3 linked regions of the Canis lupus familiaris genome follow. The protein of the gene in region 2 interacts with the protein of the main gene of each other region in a biochemical or structural test. Links are inferred from orthologs where the notes say so. Each region holds a gene or a part of one and is shown on either strand. Other genes may lie near its edges.

Evidence for each region.
Region 1: the proteins of PDZK1 (region 2) and SDK2 interact in a test that uses a peptide from one of them, tested with the Homo sapiens proteins (2 studies listed by IntAct, with this or other methods). The link is inferred for Canis lupus familiaris from reciprocal best matches to the Homo sapiens genes PDZK1 and SDK2.
Region 3: the proteins of PDZK1 (region 2) and SLC34A1 form a complex in vitro, tested with the Homo sapiens proteins (2 studies listed by BioGRID and IntAct, with this or other methods). The link is inferred for Canis lupus familiaris from reciprocal best matches to the Homo sapiens genes PDZK1 and SLC34A1.

The regions. Positions count from the first base shown.
Region 1 is NC_049230.1:7,487,576-7,492,581, forward strand, and holds the start of SDK2 (protein sidekick-2), read left to right. Parts: upstream 1-1,828; 5' UTR 1,829-1,943; coding exon 1,944-2,007; intron 2,008-5,006.
Region 2 is NC_049238.1:59,155,441-59,159,962, forward strand, and holds part of PDZK1 (Na(+)/H(+) exchange regulatory cofactor NHE-RF3), read right to left. Parts: intron 950-4,522; coding exon 659-949; intron 1-658. UniProt on the Homo sapiens protein: A scaffold protein that connects plasma membrane proteins and regulatory components, regulating their surface expression in epithelial cells apical domains.
Region 3 is NC_049225.1:36,857,442-36,862,394, reverse strand, and holds the start of SLC34A1 (sodium-dependent phosphate transport protein 2A), read left to right. Parts: upstream 1-1,775; 5' UTR 1,776-1,868; intron 1,869-3,039; exon of another isoform or gene 3,040-3,050; 5' UTR 3,051-3,070; coding exon 3,071-3,179; intron 3,180-3,312; coding exon of another isoform or gene 3,313-3,325; coding exon 3,326-3,475; intron 3,476-3,563; coding exon 3,564-3,692; intron 3,693-3,763; coding exon 3,764-3,907; intron 3,908-4,810; coding exon 4,811-4,922; intron 4,923-4,953.

The DNA of each region.
Region 1 (5,006 bases), on a different chromosome or scaffold from region 2:
TTATTCTTTTTTTAACGGTGAAAAAAGAGTCCGTGGAGGCAAAGCTGTCTAGTGCCCAGAACACTTGAATGGGGTCCTGCAAACCCTACCCAGCTGGCTTCTTCCATGGTGGGTGCTGGTTCTGCTCATTTCTGGGGGGGGGGGCGCACAGGGGAGAAAACCTCCAACCCTTCTCCTCTGTGGCTCCCTCACCAATTTTCTGTTCTCCTACCCTTAGCAAACAGAGCTCCAAAGAACAGAAAAGAAAAGAAAAAAAAAAAAAAAAAAAGAAGAAGAAGAAGGAACAAAGAATGCATACGCCTTGGCACCAACTTCACTTTCTCAGCCATCTGTAAGTCCCAGGCCTTCCTTTTGTCTTGCTCTGGGCCCTGAGCGTTTCCAGATTCTTGAAAGCCTGACCTGGGAAGGGGGTGGGGTGGGGAGTGGGACCCCCTCTGCCCAGCACAGCCTCCCCCCCACACACACACCCCGTGTCTCGGGAGGGGTGGTGGGGGTCCGGGCTGCGGGAGACGCAGGGATGAGAGCAGGCCCGCGGAGCGGAGGGGCGCGGGGCCGGGCCGAGGGGCGGAGGGGCGGAGGGGCGGAGGGGCGCGGGGCGCATCCCTCCCCGCGCGGCGGGCGCGAGCTGGGGCGGGGGCGCAGCGGGTCCCGCGCGGCGGCCGGGCTGCGGGGCTCCGGCGGGGCTCGCTCCCGGCCTGGCTCGGGGCCGCCGCCGCCCCCTCCCCGCGCGCCCGCTGTCTCCAGTCGCGGCCACGGGGTAGCGCTCGGCCCCCCTCGCCGCGTCTCCGCCTCCGCCCGCGCCGCGCTCGTCCCCGGCTCACGCGGCCCCCGCAGCTCCGGCTCGGCGCAGGCAGGAGCGGCTCTCCGGACGCCGAGCCCGGGAAGCGGAGGGCGGCGGGCTCGGCGAGCGGCGGCGGCGGCGGCGGCGGGGCGGCGGCGGCGGAGGCTGCGGAGGCGGCGCGGCCCAGGCGCAGGGGCGGCGGGGCCCGTGCGTCCAGGAGGCGCCGCGCGCCCGGAGCCGGGGCTGCCCGCCGGGCTCTCCGCGCGCCTCGCCCGGAGCTCCGGCCAGGGCGCGGCGGAGGGCAGCGCCGCCCGGCTCCGTCCTCGGCCGGCAGGAGGCTCGGCGCCCGGGCCGCCTTCCCCGCCGCCGGCGCGGACATGGGCGCGCGGGGCTGCGCGCCGGGCCGCGGGAGCCGCAAAGTTTGCTAGTCCGCTGGGCGCGGAGCCGAGGGCGCGCCCGGGCCGGCGCCGCCGGGGGCACCGAGCCTCCCCGATTGGGCGCCGGGGCGCGGGAGCCGAGAGGGGCGGCTCGGCCCCGCCGGATGCCGCCTGCAAAGTTACAGAGAAGAAAACTTCGGCTCCAGCGAGGCTCGGCCCGCTATGCCAGCCGCGCCCCCCGCGCCCCCCGCGCCCCCCGCGCCCCGCGCCCCTGAACGCAGCCCCGCGCCCGCGCCCGCGCCCGCCGCCGCCGCGCTCGCCTCCCGCCCGGCCCCGGGGGCCCCGCGCCTGCAGCGCCGGTGACTGCGTCCGCGCGGAGGACCCAGCCAGGGGGCGGGGAGGGCGCGGGGGGCGGGCAACGTGGCCACGGAGGAAGTTTCCTGAAGTTGCCGGCTTATTCCGGAGCCCGGCCCGCCACCCGGCCGCATCGCGGAGGCCGCCCCGCCCGGGAGAAGTCGGGAGTTGGGGCGCCGCGGGGAGGGAGGAGCCCCGAATCCGAGAGCGGGCTTGCCCCCTGCTCTTGGCTCGCCCCCGGGCCTTCGGCGCGCGCCGCCGGATCGGACTGGGACAGCGGACCCGAAGGAAGGCTTGGGGTCGCCGGCGTTGCCCCTCCCGCCCACCCACCGACCCGGGCCGGAGCGGCGTGGACAGTCTCCCGGGACCCCCCACCCCGCACCCCCGGATTATAAAACAGCGCGGAGGACACCCCTGCAGGGCCGGGCACCATGTGGGGGCTGCTGATCTGGACTCTGCTGGCCCTGCACCGGATCCGTGCGGCCGCAGCCCAAGGTAGGAGGGCCACCCCCACGTGGGGCTGGCTTGGGGGGCTGGCTTGGGGGGCTGGCTTGGGGGGCGGCGGCTCCTGGACACCGCGCTTGGCCTGCGCAGAGCCTCTCCAGGGAGTTTCAGGAACCCCCCCACTCGAGTTGGGGGGCTCCCTTTTTTGGGGGGGTGGGGCCGCCTTTCTGAGACTTGTGGCTTCCCGGGGAGGGAAGGTGGGGGTCGGTGTTGGGAGCGTCGTCCGGGGTGAGGGGAGGGGTGGAGCGCCCCCCCCGCCGTGGGTGCCCCCCCCCGGGCCCGCGTGGGTGCGGGGCTCCGCGCCCGAGCTCCCCAGCCCGGGTCCCCGGGTCCGCGGGAAGGGCCAGGCCCCGTGCCCGGCAGGCGCTGAGCGCCCGGGGCCGGCCGAGTGGGGCGGGAGCCCGAGTCGGATCCGCCGGCCGCCCCGGGGGGACAGTCTCCGGGCCAGGCCGCGGGGCCGGGGGTGCTCGGCTGAGCGGGCCTCGAGCCCGGACCCACGCGGGGTGGGGCGGCCCCCCTGCGCCCCCGGACACACGCAGCATCCTGCCTGGACCTCCCCCTCCGCCCGCCGCTCCTGATTCTCTGACCTGTGGCTGCCTGGAGCAGCCCCTGCCTTGGGGGCGGGAGGGGGGAGGGATGGGGAGGGATGGGGAGGCGCTGGGAGGGTCCGCGCTGCCCCCTCCGGAGGGCGGATGCCCAGACACCCCCCGCCCCCAGTCCTCGGGCAGGTCCCAGCGGGGGAGGCCGGTTGCACCGCCGCTTCCTTGCCTTTGGGGTTCGCAGACCCAGACGGTGGTGCCAGCGGTGTCCGAGCGGCGCCTGCTGGGGGCGGAGGGAGACGAAGCCCGACCGAGCTTCAGGACTCGCGGGGCTCGGCCTCCCGGTTCCAGGCTCCAGGCTCGGGAGCTGCCTGCACCCACCCGGGGGCGCCGGAATGCGGAGGCTGCATCCCGACCGGGCCCCACCCCAACTCTGGGGTCGCCCGCCAGCGAGGGGGGGAGGTGAAGGGACCCCACTGCGCCCAGCGTCAGGCAGTCCAGAGAGCCGAGATCAAAGAGATGAGAATAATCAGCTCTCACTCACCGGGTTGAAGGGAGGATTTTATAAGGTAATTTACGTTAAACCACTTAGAAATTTTGTAAGGAGCCCTGTAAATGTAAGGTAATAAAAGTTATTATTAGTTTTATGATCATCGTAAAATCTTCCAGCAGCCTGCGGACCTTAGAGGTCGGCTGACTCTAGCTACCACTTCGCAGATAGGAAAACTGAGGCCCAGAGGCATTAAATGACTTTGCCCAAGGCTGCTGCGTGCACTGGGGGCAGAGTCAGGGACCTGGTGACTTTTGGGCCCTTCTGTCCCCGGACCCAGGACCCTCCGCAGCTGGCGTGGGTTTGCCAAGGGCTGGGCCCTCCTGGGAGGTCCTGGGAGGACCTTGCTGCTGGCAGAAGAGGAACAAGGTGCAGCCTGCCCTGGGGCGCCTCACAGAGTTGCTCCGAGACGCCCGTGGGGCTCCTGGCCGAAAGCCGGGAGAGAGGGAGGACTCTGGGGGTGTCAGCCCCAGCTGGAGGCATCTGACTTCATTACTGTATGGACTGTGGCAGTGGCATGATTTCCCCGGGGCAGGTGGCTCACTCGTTCTTGTCCACGCAGGCCCAGGCCCATGAGGAGTCCCCTGGGCACCCAAAGGTCCTTCCCTGTGGGCCATCAAGCCTCTATCATGTCCCAGCCGACCCTGTCCCATCCACCTGAGGCCAGGATCCACCAGTCCGGCTGAAGTTAAGGCCCGGCCACTTCTGTCCCCGTCCTCCTGCTGGAGGGGCTCGCCCTGTCACCACACGGAAAGACTGATTGATTCCCTCCCTCTCTGGTTCTCTTGTTTGCTGCCTTCTTGAGTGAGGCTGCCCAGGTCCCCTGCTGCTCCGTTTGTGTTCTCTGGCTCCGAGAGAGTGTTTTCCAGCATCCGTGGGTACTCTCCATTTGTCTCCTGGCGGCAAACCATGCAGGGGATTGTGGGAACTTGGTCTCGCCTGGACTTAGGGGTGCTGTGTTGTGTGTAGGGGGCCGTGGGGTGTGGGGGGGTTAGGGTCAGGCCATGGGGAGACTCAGTTGAGGGGGGTTCCTTTCCTACCTGCTTTAGGGTTAGAAGGTGGAGGTTCTCTTTAGCTTCTCTTTTGAGGTTGAGGCCATGCCCTTAACCCTTTGGGGGTAGTTGAAGCTGCTGGCACTGTTTGTTCCTTCTGAGCTCCTGAGCCCTTCAGTCATGTGTCTCCAGTCATGACACAGAGTGAGGGCCCAGGTGGCCTTCCTCCCTGGGGCAGACCTCATATTGGCCACCACTGAGGATTTTATCTAGACCTTGGCTAGTGTTTTCAGCTGCTGGACCCCAGCAACATCACCTGCCTATACTGAAAGCCACTTTTTAACCATTTCCCCCAAAACTCCGACAGTTCACACCCATTTCCTAAACTAAGTGCCGCGATGTTGTAGAAAGAGCGATTCCAGGTATTTGAGGGAGCCCGCCGCAAGTGCCTGGCACTTAGAAGGCGCTTCATAAAGGGGAATAGGTTTTTTTTTTTTTTCCCTTTTAAAGATTTTATTTATTCATGAGAGACACAGAGAGAGGCAGAGACATAGGCAGAGGGAGAAGCAGGCTCCCTGCAGGGGGAGCCTGATGTGGGACTCCATCCCAGGACCCCGAGATCACACCCTGAGCCCAAAGGCAGACGCTCAACCACTGAGCCACCCAGGTGCCCAAGGGTAATTGTTCTGATGATGATGATGATGATGATGATGATGATGATGATGTTTTTACACTGTTAAGCCCGACCATGAGGAGTAGCCCTGGCCACCCACCCACCTTCTATTTCAGAGGCTGCATCGCGGTCCTCAGTGGCCCTCCGGCGGTGCTGGGCTCCACTCCCAGGTGCTCTGCCTGGAAATGTCTGGGTGAGCCTGGATGTCTGCATCTTAGCCAGCTTCTCAAAAGATT
Region 2 (4,522 bases):
TTCAGGCTTACCATTATTAACCAGGCACTGTTTGAAGCACTTTAATAGTCTTAGTTAATAGGAAACAAACAGGGTTGCTGGAGGGGAGGTATCTGGGGGGGATGGGGTAACTGGGTGATAGGCATTAAGGAGGGTACGTGATGGAATGAGCACTGGGTGTTCTATGCAACTGATGAGTCATTAAACTCTACCTCTGAAACTAGTAATATACTATATATTAATTGATTTTAAACTTAAAATTTTTTTAAATTAAAGAATAGTTAATATAATCCTAATAATCCTATAAACTATTCTTGGTTTACAAGTGGGGTAAGTGAGGCAGAGAGAAAATAAGTCCATTTGCCCAAGGCTGTTAAGTGACAGAATCAGAATTTGTACACAGTCTGATTCAGGTTCTTCTGGTGGTTCCATTATAATTTTGATAAACTTTTATTAATTGATTTTTCTCCAGACAGTTACTGTCAACTCCATGCTATGAAAAAGAAGCTTGTCCTCATACCACTTCCTCTCCACCAAAATAATTTAACTTGCTTGTTCTCTTTGTAATTTTCCAGTATTCTAGGAAATGTGTGGTCAACACAGACCTGGGGTGTACTTATTAAGGACTTTATCATACCCTGATAGGTTAGATCACTAAAAGAAGTCTGTCATCACTCACTCGTTCTTTTGCCACATGTGACTCGAGCTCTGGTTCTGCCAGTGTTTCTTCTTTGGAATCAGGAGTTTCATCCAGTGGATCAGCCATGGAAGAAACAACAGGGATTTTCTTAACCTGGAAATAATCATAGGCCTTCTTTCCACAGACCAAGAGTGTGACATTCTTCCCACTGCTCTGGATTCTGTCTACCACCTTCTCATAGGGTTCATCCACCACCTTTGCTCCATTCACTTCAATGATGATATCTTCATCCTCCAACCCTGCCAATTCAGCAGGGCTGCCCTTCTGTACCTATGAAGAGAGGTTCTAAATTATCACTTCCTGACATGGATAAAGGAATTTAGTTTAGCTTCCCTTCAGAGGAGAGAGGAGTTTGAAAATGTACTCTTAACCATGTTATTTCTCCCTAAGGTACATAAGAAAGGTGCTCTAATGCTTTTCCACTTCTGAAAGATTCAACTTCCGTTCTCAAATGAATACCACGGTAGGAGGGGTCCGACATGACAGCACAAAAAGACTCTGAACTCACCTCCTCCCACAGACACCAAATCGACATCTACATAAAGAGCAATTCCTCCTGAAGAACTGAGGGCCAATTGAGCAGCTTTTACACAAAAAAGAATAGACCACAGAGAGAACAGCAGAAGAGATGGAGACACAGTAATGATGAAACCCCCACCCCTGATGCTACAAACTACAGTAGGGAGAGAGACCACTGAGGAGTCAGCACACAGTTTCCCCAGACCTGGGGCACAGAAAAATAGTAGCAGTTTAAAGAGCAACTAGAAAAAAAAATAAATAAATAAAAATTAATTAATTAATTATTTAATTAAAAAAAAAGAGCAACTAGACTAATCGAAGAGAACCAGTTGACTAACCCGAGAGCATCTGCCAAATGGTAGAGAAACTGCTGAAATTCTCAGGGGCACAGGGTATTAGCAAGTACCACTGTTAACATTCCATCTCCACCTTGATAATGCAAGATAAGCCCAGATGCTCTAGCCATCCTCAACAAGCCCTGGGACCCTAGCCCACACCAGCTCAATGCAGGCCCACTATGGCACACACCAGGACACCCTCAGCTACCTCACCAAAGCAATCATGGCATAAAGCACTCCAAATCAGCCCAGCCCATGCCTGCTTCAGCTATGCCACCAGAGCTGGCTCCACCCAAAGCTACTAGGCACCTGCAGTCTACACTGGGGACATTTCTACACAAGATCACTCCTTTAAGACAGGAAGATGTAGCTGTTTGAGACAAAGGAATATGTTTCAAATGAAAGAATAAGACAAAACAAGAATTGAACAAAATGGAGATAAGCAATCAACCCGAGGAAGTTCAGAGTAATGGTCATAAAGATGCTCACCAGACTTCAGAGAAGAGTAAATGAATTCAGTAAGAACTCAAAGAAATAGAAAATATATTCTTTATCTCTGATTCATTCTTTTTTATAATTAAAATTTAAAAATACATAAGAGGGAATTAACAGATGATACAGAACAAATCTAGTGATCCGGAAAGACCAGTAAGCACTCAAGCTGAACAACAAAAAGAAAAAAAATTTAATTGAGGTTAGGTTAAGGAATCTCTGGGACAGTAACATTCATGCCATAAGAATCCCAGAAGGAGAACAGAGAAAGGGACAGAAAGCTTTTTTTGAAGAAATAATAACTGAAAACTTCCCTAATCTGGGGAAGAGACAGACGTCCAGGAGAACCCCAAGCAAGCTGAACCCAAGAAGGAACACCAAGACCTATAACAATTTAAATGTCAAAGATTAAAGATAGAGAATCTTAAAAGCAGCAAGAGAAATGCAGCTAGCTACCTATGAGGGAAATCTCGTAAGGCTATCAGCTGATTTTTCAGTAGAAACTTTGAGATTATATATACATATAACATATAGACAAATATATGCCATTCCCCCTCTGGCCTGCAAAAGACCAAAAGAAAAAAACCTACGTGCAAGGATGTTCTACCCAGCAAACTCATTTTCAGAACTGAAGGAAAGAGACAGTTTCCCAGACAAAAGTTAAAGTCACAACCCCTAAACCAAACTTACAAGAAATGTTGAAGGGCCTTCTCCAAGTGGAAAAGGGCATAACTAGAAGAAAATTATGAAAGGAAAAAATTTCACCAATAAAAGAAAACACGTAAAGATAGTAGATCAATCACTTAAAATCTAGTGTGAAGGTTGAAACACAAAGGTAGTAAAACCAATTATATCAAATAAATAAATAAGAGATTTACAGAATAAAAAGATGCAAAATAAGACACATTAAATGTGGAGGGGAAGGAATAAAAATATAGTACTTTTAGAATATATTTGAATTCGGGATGCCTTGGTGTTTCAGTTGGTTAAGCATCTGACTTTTGATTTCAGCTCAGGTCATTTTCTCAGGATTGTGAGATCAATCCCTGCATTGGGTTCCATGCAGGGCATGGAGCCTGCTTAGGATTCTCTCTCTCCCTCTGTCCCTCCTCTCCCATACTCACTTGTGCTCTCTCTTAAAAAAAAAAAAAAAAAATATATATATATATATACACACACACACACACACACACACACACACACACATACATACATATGTTTGAATTTAAGTGACCATCAACTTAATATACACTGTTATATATTTAGGATGTTATATAGGAATGTTATATAGTAACCATAAATCAAAAACCTATAATAATACAAAAAATTAGAAAGGAATCCAAGTGTAACATTAAAAGAAAGTCATCAGTCATAAGGGAAGAGAGCAAAAGAAGAAAGAACGTCATCAGTCATGAGGGAAGAGAGCAAAAGAAGAAAGGAATAGAACTACAAAAATACCCAGGAAATAATTAACAAAATGTCATAGGTACATACCTATCAACTACTTTAAATGTAAATGGTCTAAATGCTCCAATCAAAAGACAGGGTAACTGAACAGATATAAAAGCAAGATCCATTTATATGCTGCTTATAAGAGACACTTCAGGCCTAAAGACCCAGGCTGAAAGTGACAGGCTAGAAAACATTTACCATGCAAATGGAAGCCAAAAATAAAAACAAAGTAGCAGTGCTTACATTAGATAAAATAGATTTTAAAACAAAGACACTGGGGCACCTGGGTGGCTAACTGGTTGAACTAGAAATCACAAAAAAAAGTCTAAAAAGAACACCAATAGGGAAGCCCAGGTGGCTCAGTGGTTTGGCGCCACCTTCAGCCCAGGATATGATCCTGGAGACCTGGGATCGAGTCCCACGTCGGGCTCCCTGTGTAGAGTCTGTTTCTCCCTCTGCTTGTGTCTCTGCCTCTCTCTTTCTCTCTGTCTCTCATGAATAAATAAATAAAAATAAAAATAAAATAAAATAAAAAATAAAAAGAACACCAATAACATGCTACTAAACAATGAACGTGTCAACCAAGAAATCAAGGAGGAAATAAAAAAATAAATGAAGACAAATGAAAACACAATTCAGTCTTTGGGATGGAGTAAAAGCAGTTCTAAGAATCTCATAGAGCTACTGCCCTACCTCAAGAATCAGGAAAAACCTCAATTAAACCTTGTGCCTAAAAGAACTAGAAAAAGAACAAAGCCTAAAGTTAGTAGGAGAAAGGAAATAAAGATCTGAGTGGAAATAGAAACTAAAAAAAAAAAAAAAATAGGAAAGATCAGTGAGGGATGCCTAGTTGGCTCAGTAGTTGGGGATCTACCTTTGGCATAGGTCGTAATCCTAGGGTCCTGGGATTGAGTCCCGTATCAGGCTCCCCACAGGAAGCCTGCATCTCCCTCTACCTATGTCTCTGCTTCTCTCTGTGTCTCTCATGAGTAAATAAATAAAATCTTTTTTAAAAATCAATGAAATCAGGAGCTAGTTCTCT
Region 3 (4,953 bases), on a different chromosome or scaffold from region 2:
GGAGTGGGAGGGACAGAGGGAGAGGGAGAGAGAATCTCCAGTAGACTCCATGCTGAGTGTTGAGCCCGATGCTGGGCTTGATCTCATGACTCTGAGATCAAGACCTGAGTCAAAACTTAAGAGTTGGCTGCCCAACTGATTGTGCCACCCAGGTGCCCCTCTGATTGCCATTTTATAGGTAAAGTGACTTGCCTCAGCACTCCAGGCTGACTCAGAGATTAGATCAGGAGGGAGCTGGCCTAGCCAATCTTGGCTCAGCATTGAGTAGGAACTCAACTAATGTTCTTAGGAATGGGTGGATAGACATATGACTGGCTGGCTAGGTGGGTGGGTGGGTTCATGAATGGATGGACGGATGGATAATGTTGGACAGGTTACTCACATAGTTGCCCAAGCTAAATTTTTTTATTATTATTTTTTATTTATTTATGATAGTCACACAGTGAGAGAGAGAGAGAGAGAGAGAGAGGCAGAGACACAGGCAGAGGGAGAAGCAGGCTCCAGGCACCGGGAGCCCGACGTCGATTCGATCCCGGGTCTCCAGGATCGCGCCCTGGGCCAAAGGCAGGCGCCAAACCGCTGCGCCACCCAGGGATCCCCCCAAGCTAAATTTTGAATGGAACCCACTGCTGCTGGATCTGTTCAATCTTCCTCTCTTAGAAGGGAAGCTCCCTTCTCATCATTCATGTGAATCTGGGCCCCAATTCAGGCTCCAGAGTCCCATGAAAGGGAAACAAGTTTCTCAAAGGCTCCCTAAGAGCCCTCTCTGGGTTTTAGAAGTTTTGCAACAGACCTCATGCCATCATCAGCTTCTTGATCCAGAAATCCAACTGTCATATAGTTCCTCTTTCTGCCACGCTCCCCATCGCCCATTCCATTGTCAAAGTATCCCTGGGATGCATCTTCTCTCCATCCCTCCTGTTCCACTTGATTCAGACCTCATTGTCTCTCCTCTAGACCATCTCATCAGCCTCTTAGCTGGTCTCTCTGCTTCCAGACTTGCCCCCTTTGACAGACAACCCCCTTTTCTCCTACTAAAGAGACCATTCTAAAATGCAGACCAGGCCTTTCCTTTTTTTTTTTTTTTAAGATTTTATTTATTTATTCATAAGAGACACACACACAGAGAGAGAGAGAGGCAGAGACAAAGGCAGAGGGAGAAGCAGGCTCCATGCACCGGGAGCCCGACGTGGGATTCGATCCCGGGTCTCCAGGATCGCGCCCTGGGCCAAAGGCAGGCGCTAAACCGCTGCGCCACCCAGGGATCCCAGACCAGGCCCTTCCTGATCTGGCCAGGGGCTCCACATTCTCTCAGACACATCCTGGATTTGTGGTTACACACTGGAGACCCTCCCTGACTCAACACTATGAAGCCTTCCCAGATTTCTCTATTACTCTTTCCATCACATGCTCCCTCTCCTCCAAATGCTCCTAAGACCCACAGACAGATCCACAGACATCCAGGTTTGTGGCAAGACAAGAGTCCTGTCAGACTAAGAATGAGGAGAAGGGGCTGGAGCCATGAAATCTTTTTGGGGACCCTGGGAATAAAGTGCCTAAGTAGCATAAGGGTCTTTGCCTGAAGGCAAATGTGTCTGTGCCCTAGCTGGCTTGGGTCTCTTTCAGGCTGAGTTTCTGCATGGGGAAAGGGAAAGCCTGACTACAGACTCCCCCAGCAGAGCTGACGATTAGTAATTAACTGGGAGGAATCTCAGGGGTGAGGTTAATTGGGGAACAGAGAGAGGGCAGCTAGGGTTTTGGGACTTTGCCCTTGACCCAAGGGTATAAAGAGGAGGGTCCCAGCTCTGCCTCAGGCCCCTGGGGCTTCCTTAAGTAGCTGAGCAGGAGCTGAAACACAGAATCCCAAGGTAAGCCTAGGGCTCCTCACTCCCAAACTCATCCCCAAGCCTTAGAAGGAAATAGCCTATCGGTCTTGCTCCCTCACCTCTGCCCTAACTGTGCTTCCCCTTCCTGCACCCATAACATCTCAGTCCCAGTCCAACCCCGCAAAGGAAAGAACTCATGCACTTCTCTTCCAGCTCCCTGCAATTCCGCCAAATAGCCAAGGGCCCTTGGGACAACATAGGGGTGTGGGGGTACAGGCTGCTGATATAGACTGGGTATGCTCACCCCAACCACCAAGAACTCCTGAGGCAGTTCAGGGGGCTCTAAAGCATGCCAAGGGTTTCTCAGATTGGGGCGGGCATGGGGAAACCTCCTTACCTAAACCGGTCCTGGTCTGAAAGCCATTCATGGGAGAAAGGACATTGGTGTTTGTTTATTGCTGTGAGGGAGAGAGGCAGGTGGGGGAAAGAAGTTCGTTTGCGAAGGGAACTCCCAAACCTGAGATCCAGGCCAGTGGACTCTCCCGAGTGCACATCCAGCAGGTCCCATGAGCAAGCAGGTGTCCACGGCTCTTCTCTGCTCTCAGGATGATCAGAACTCCTCCCACACACACAGCCTTGGCCCACATCTGCAAGCTCTGCTGACACACGTTCCCTGGCCCCCTCTGGCTGCAGGGCACTCACAGCTCCTTTCCCTCCAGAGGCCGCTGCACACATGCCCTTCTCCCTCGCCATCAGGCGACTCCTACTCATGTTCATCTCAGATGAACAGCCCAGTCATCTCTGCCCTCCACCCCCTCCATGGGGCACTCTGGTGGCACCTGTATCTGTCATTAGAACCCTTGTTCCCATTGCCACTTTCTATGTGAGGGGTTACTTCATTGGCATCTGTCTCCCTGCAAGACTTGGAGCTTCCTGAGAGCAGGGGTTGTCCTTGTATTGAGTCATCACTGTACCCTAGCATCTAGCTCAGTGCCTAGGATAGAGTTGATACTCAACAAATACTTGTTGAGCAAATGAATACATGAATCTGGGATGAGTACCTGAATGTGCATCTCTGGTACATGTGGGGGTGGAGGATGTGCGTTAGGGATTGCACACCATGGGTATTTGTGCATATGATTATGTGGGTGTGGATGTGGACAGGGGCGTGTGAGCATGGGTCGGTTCCCAGGACACAGCAGTTGTCATTCAGTGTTACTACAGCTCCACGGTGTGCACCCAGGATGATGTCCTATGGAGAAAGGCTGGGGGCCCCAGCTGTCTCCCCACACCCAGTCCGAGGCGGACACGTGATACGTGGGACAGCCTTTGCCTATGTGCCCAGCCCTCAGGGTGAGTGCTGCTCCCATCCTTGGACCCTTAGTGCCCACAGTTGCTACCATCCCTGGTGAGGTCTCCACCCCTCTCCCTGCCCAGCACGTCCTTGACCCTGCCTATCCCAGGGCTTCTGGGAACTCCTTATCAGCCTCCCTCCCCAGTCCTGCATAGGATCCCAGGGACCTCCGCCTACGCCTTCCCCAGCCTGGGCCCTGTGGCCCTTCCTGAGCACGGCTGCCCCTATGGAGAGGTTCTGGAGTGCCATGACCCCCTGCCTGCCAAGCTGGCCCTGGAGGAGGACCAAAAGCCAGGTGGGCCTGGGCAGGGGTGGACAGCAAGGATGTCAGCAATTGATGCCTTAGCTCCTGGCCCCTGTGCTCACAACTGGCCCATCTCCAGAGCTGGGCCTGGCCCAGAAGCTGTGCCAGGTTGGCATGACATTCCTCAAGGTGCCACTGATGCTCGCCTTTCTGTACCTCTTCGTCTGCTCCTTGGACGTGCTCAGCTCTGCCTTCCAACTGGCTGGAGGTAGGACCAGAGAAGGGGACCGGGACAGGGTTCCTGAAGGGCATCAGGCAATGCTGGCTAATACTCCTCAGGGAAGGTGGCTGGTGACATCTTCAAGGACAACGCCATCCTGTCCAACCCAGTAGCAGGGCTGGTGGTAGGGATCCTGGTGACGGTGCTGGTGCAGAGTTCCAGCACCTCCACGTCCATCATTGTCAGCATGGTCTCTTCTGGCTGTAAGTTGGCCCACCAGGGCTAGGGAAAGAGTGTGGGGGGCTGAGTGTGCTGGATGGGGGCTGAGGTGGTGCATCAGAGCTGGGGGCCAGGAAAAGAAGTGGGGCCAGGGAGCTAAGGGCAAGGGGCAGGACTCCAGCATCTCCCACTCCATCTTCCAAGGCATGGCCGGGAATCTTAGCCAGGAGAAGTGCCTCAAGATTTAGGAAGGGTGGCAAATGGGGAGTCCAGACCCAGGAAGGCTCAGCTCCCTATCACCACATAGTCCTTTCTTCCATCAGTCAGGGAAACAGAACCTACTGGAGATATACATATGATTTATTGCAAGGAATTGGTTTATACAATTGTGGGGCTGGCTAAGCAAATCTACAATCTGTAGCAGAGGTTGTTGGGAAGGGCAGGCTGAAACTCTGAGGTGAAGCCAAGGCCGGATAGCCTCAGTTTTGCTCTTAAGGCCTTTTATCTCACCAGATGAGGCCCACTCAGATATCAAGAATAATCCCCTTTACTTAAACTCAACTGGCTGTAGAGGTGAATCACACCTGCAGAATACCTTCACAGCAATATCTAGGCCAGTGGACTGAATGAGTGCTGCAGCCTAGCTAAGCTGATGCATGAAACTAACCATCACACTTTGGATGCATGCACACACAAGCACAGATCTGCATTTGCGTACAGGACACGTGCCTCATATACATATATGTGCACATGCAGTGTATCCATTCACATGCACGCATATGTATCATGTATACTCACATGTACCTGTGACATCAAGGCTGGGCAGCATCATGGCAGGACTGCCCAGTGGAGGCCAGGACGTGGGCAGCGAGCTGGAGGGAGATGTTGTGGGGGCAGGAGCTAGGAGGCCCTCACACAGTTATGTAAGAGGTCCTCTCTTCTGCTAGTGCTGGAGGTGAGCTCTGCTATCCCCATCATCATGGGCTCCAACATCGGCACCTCTGTCACCAATACCATTGTGGCATTGATGCAGGCGGGGGATCGGACTGACTTCAGGCGGTGAGGGGGTAGAGTGGCGAGGGGCCTGTGT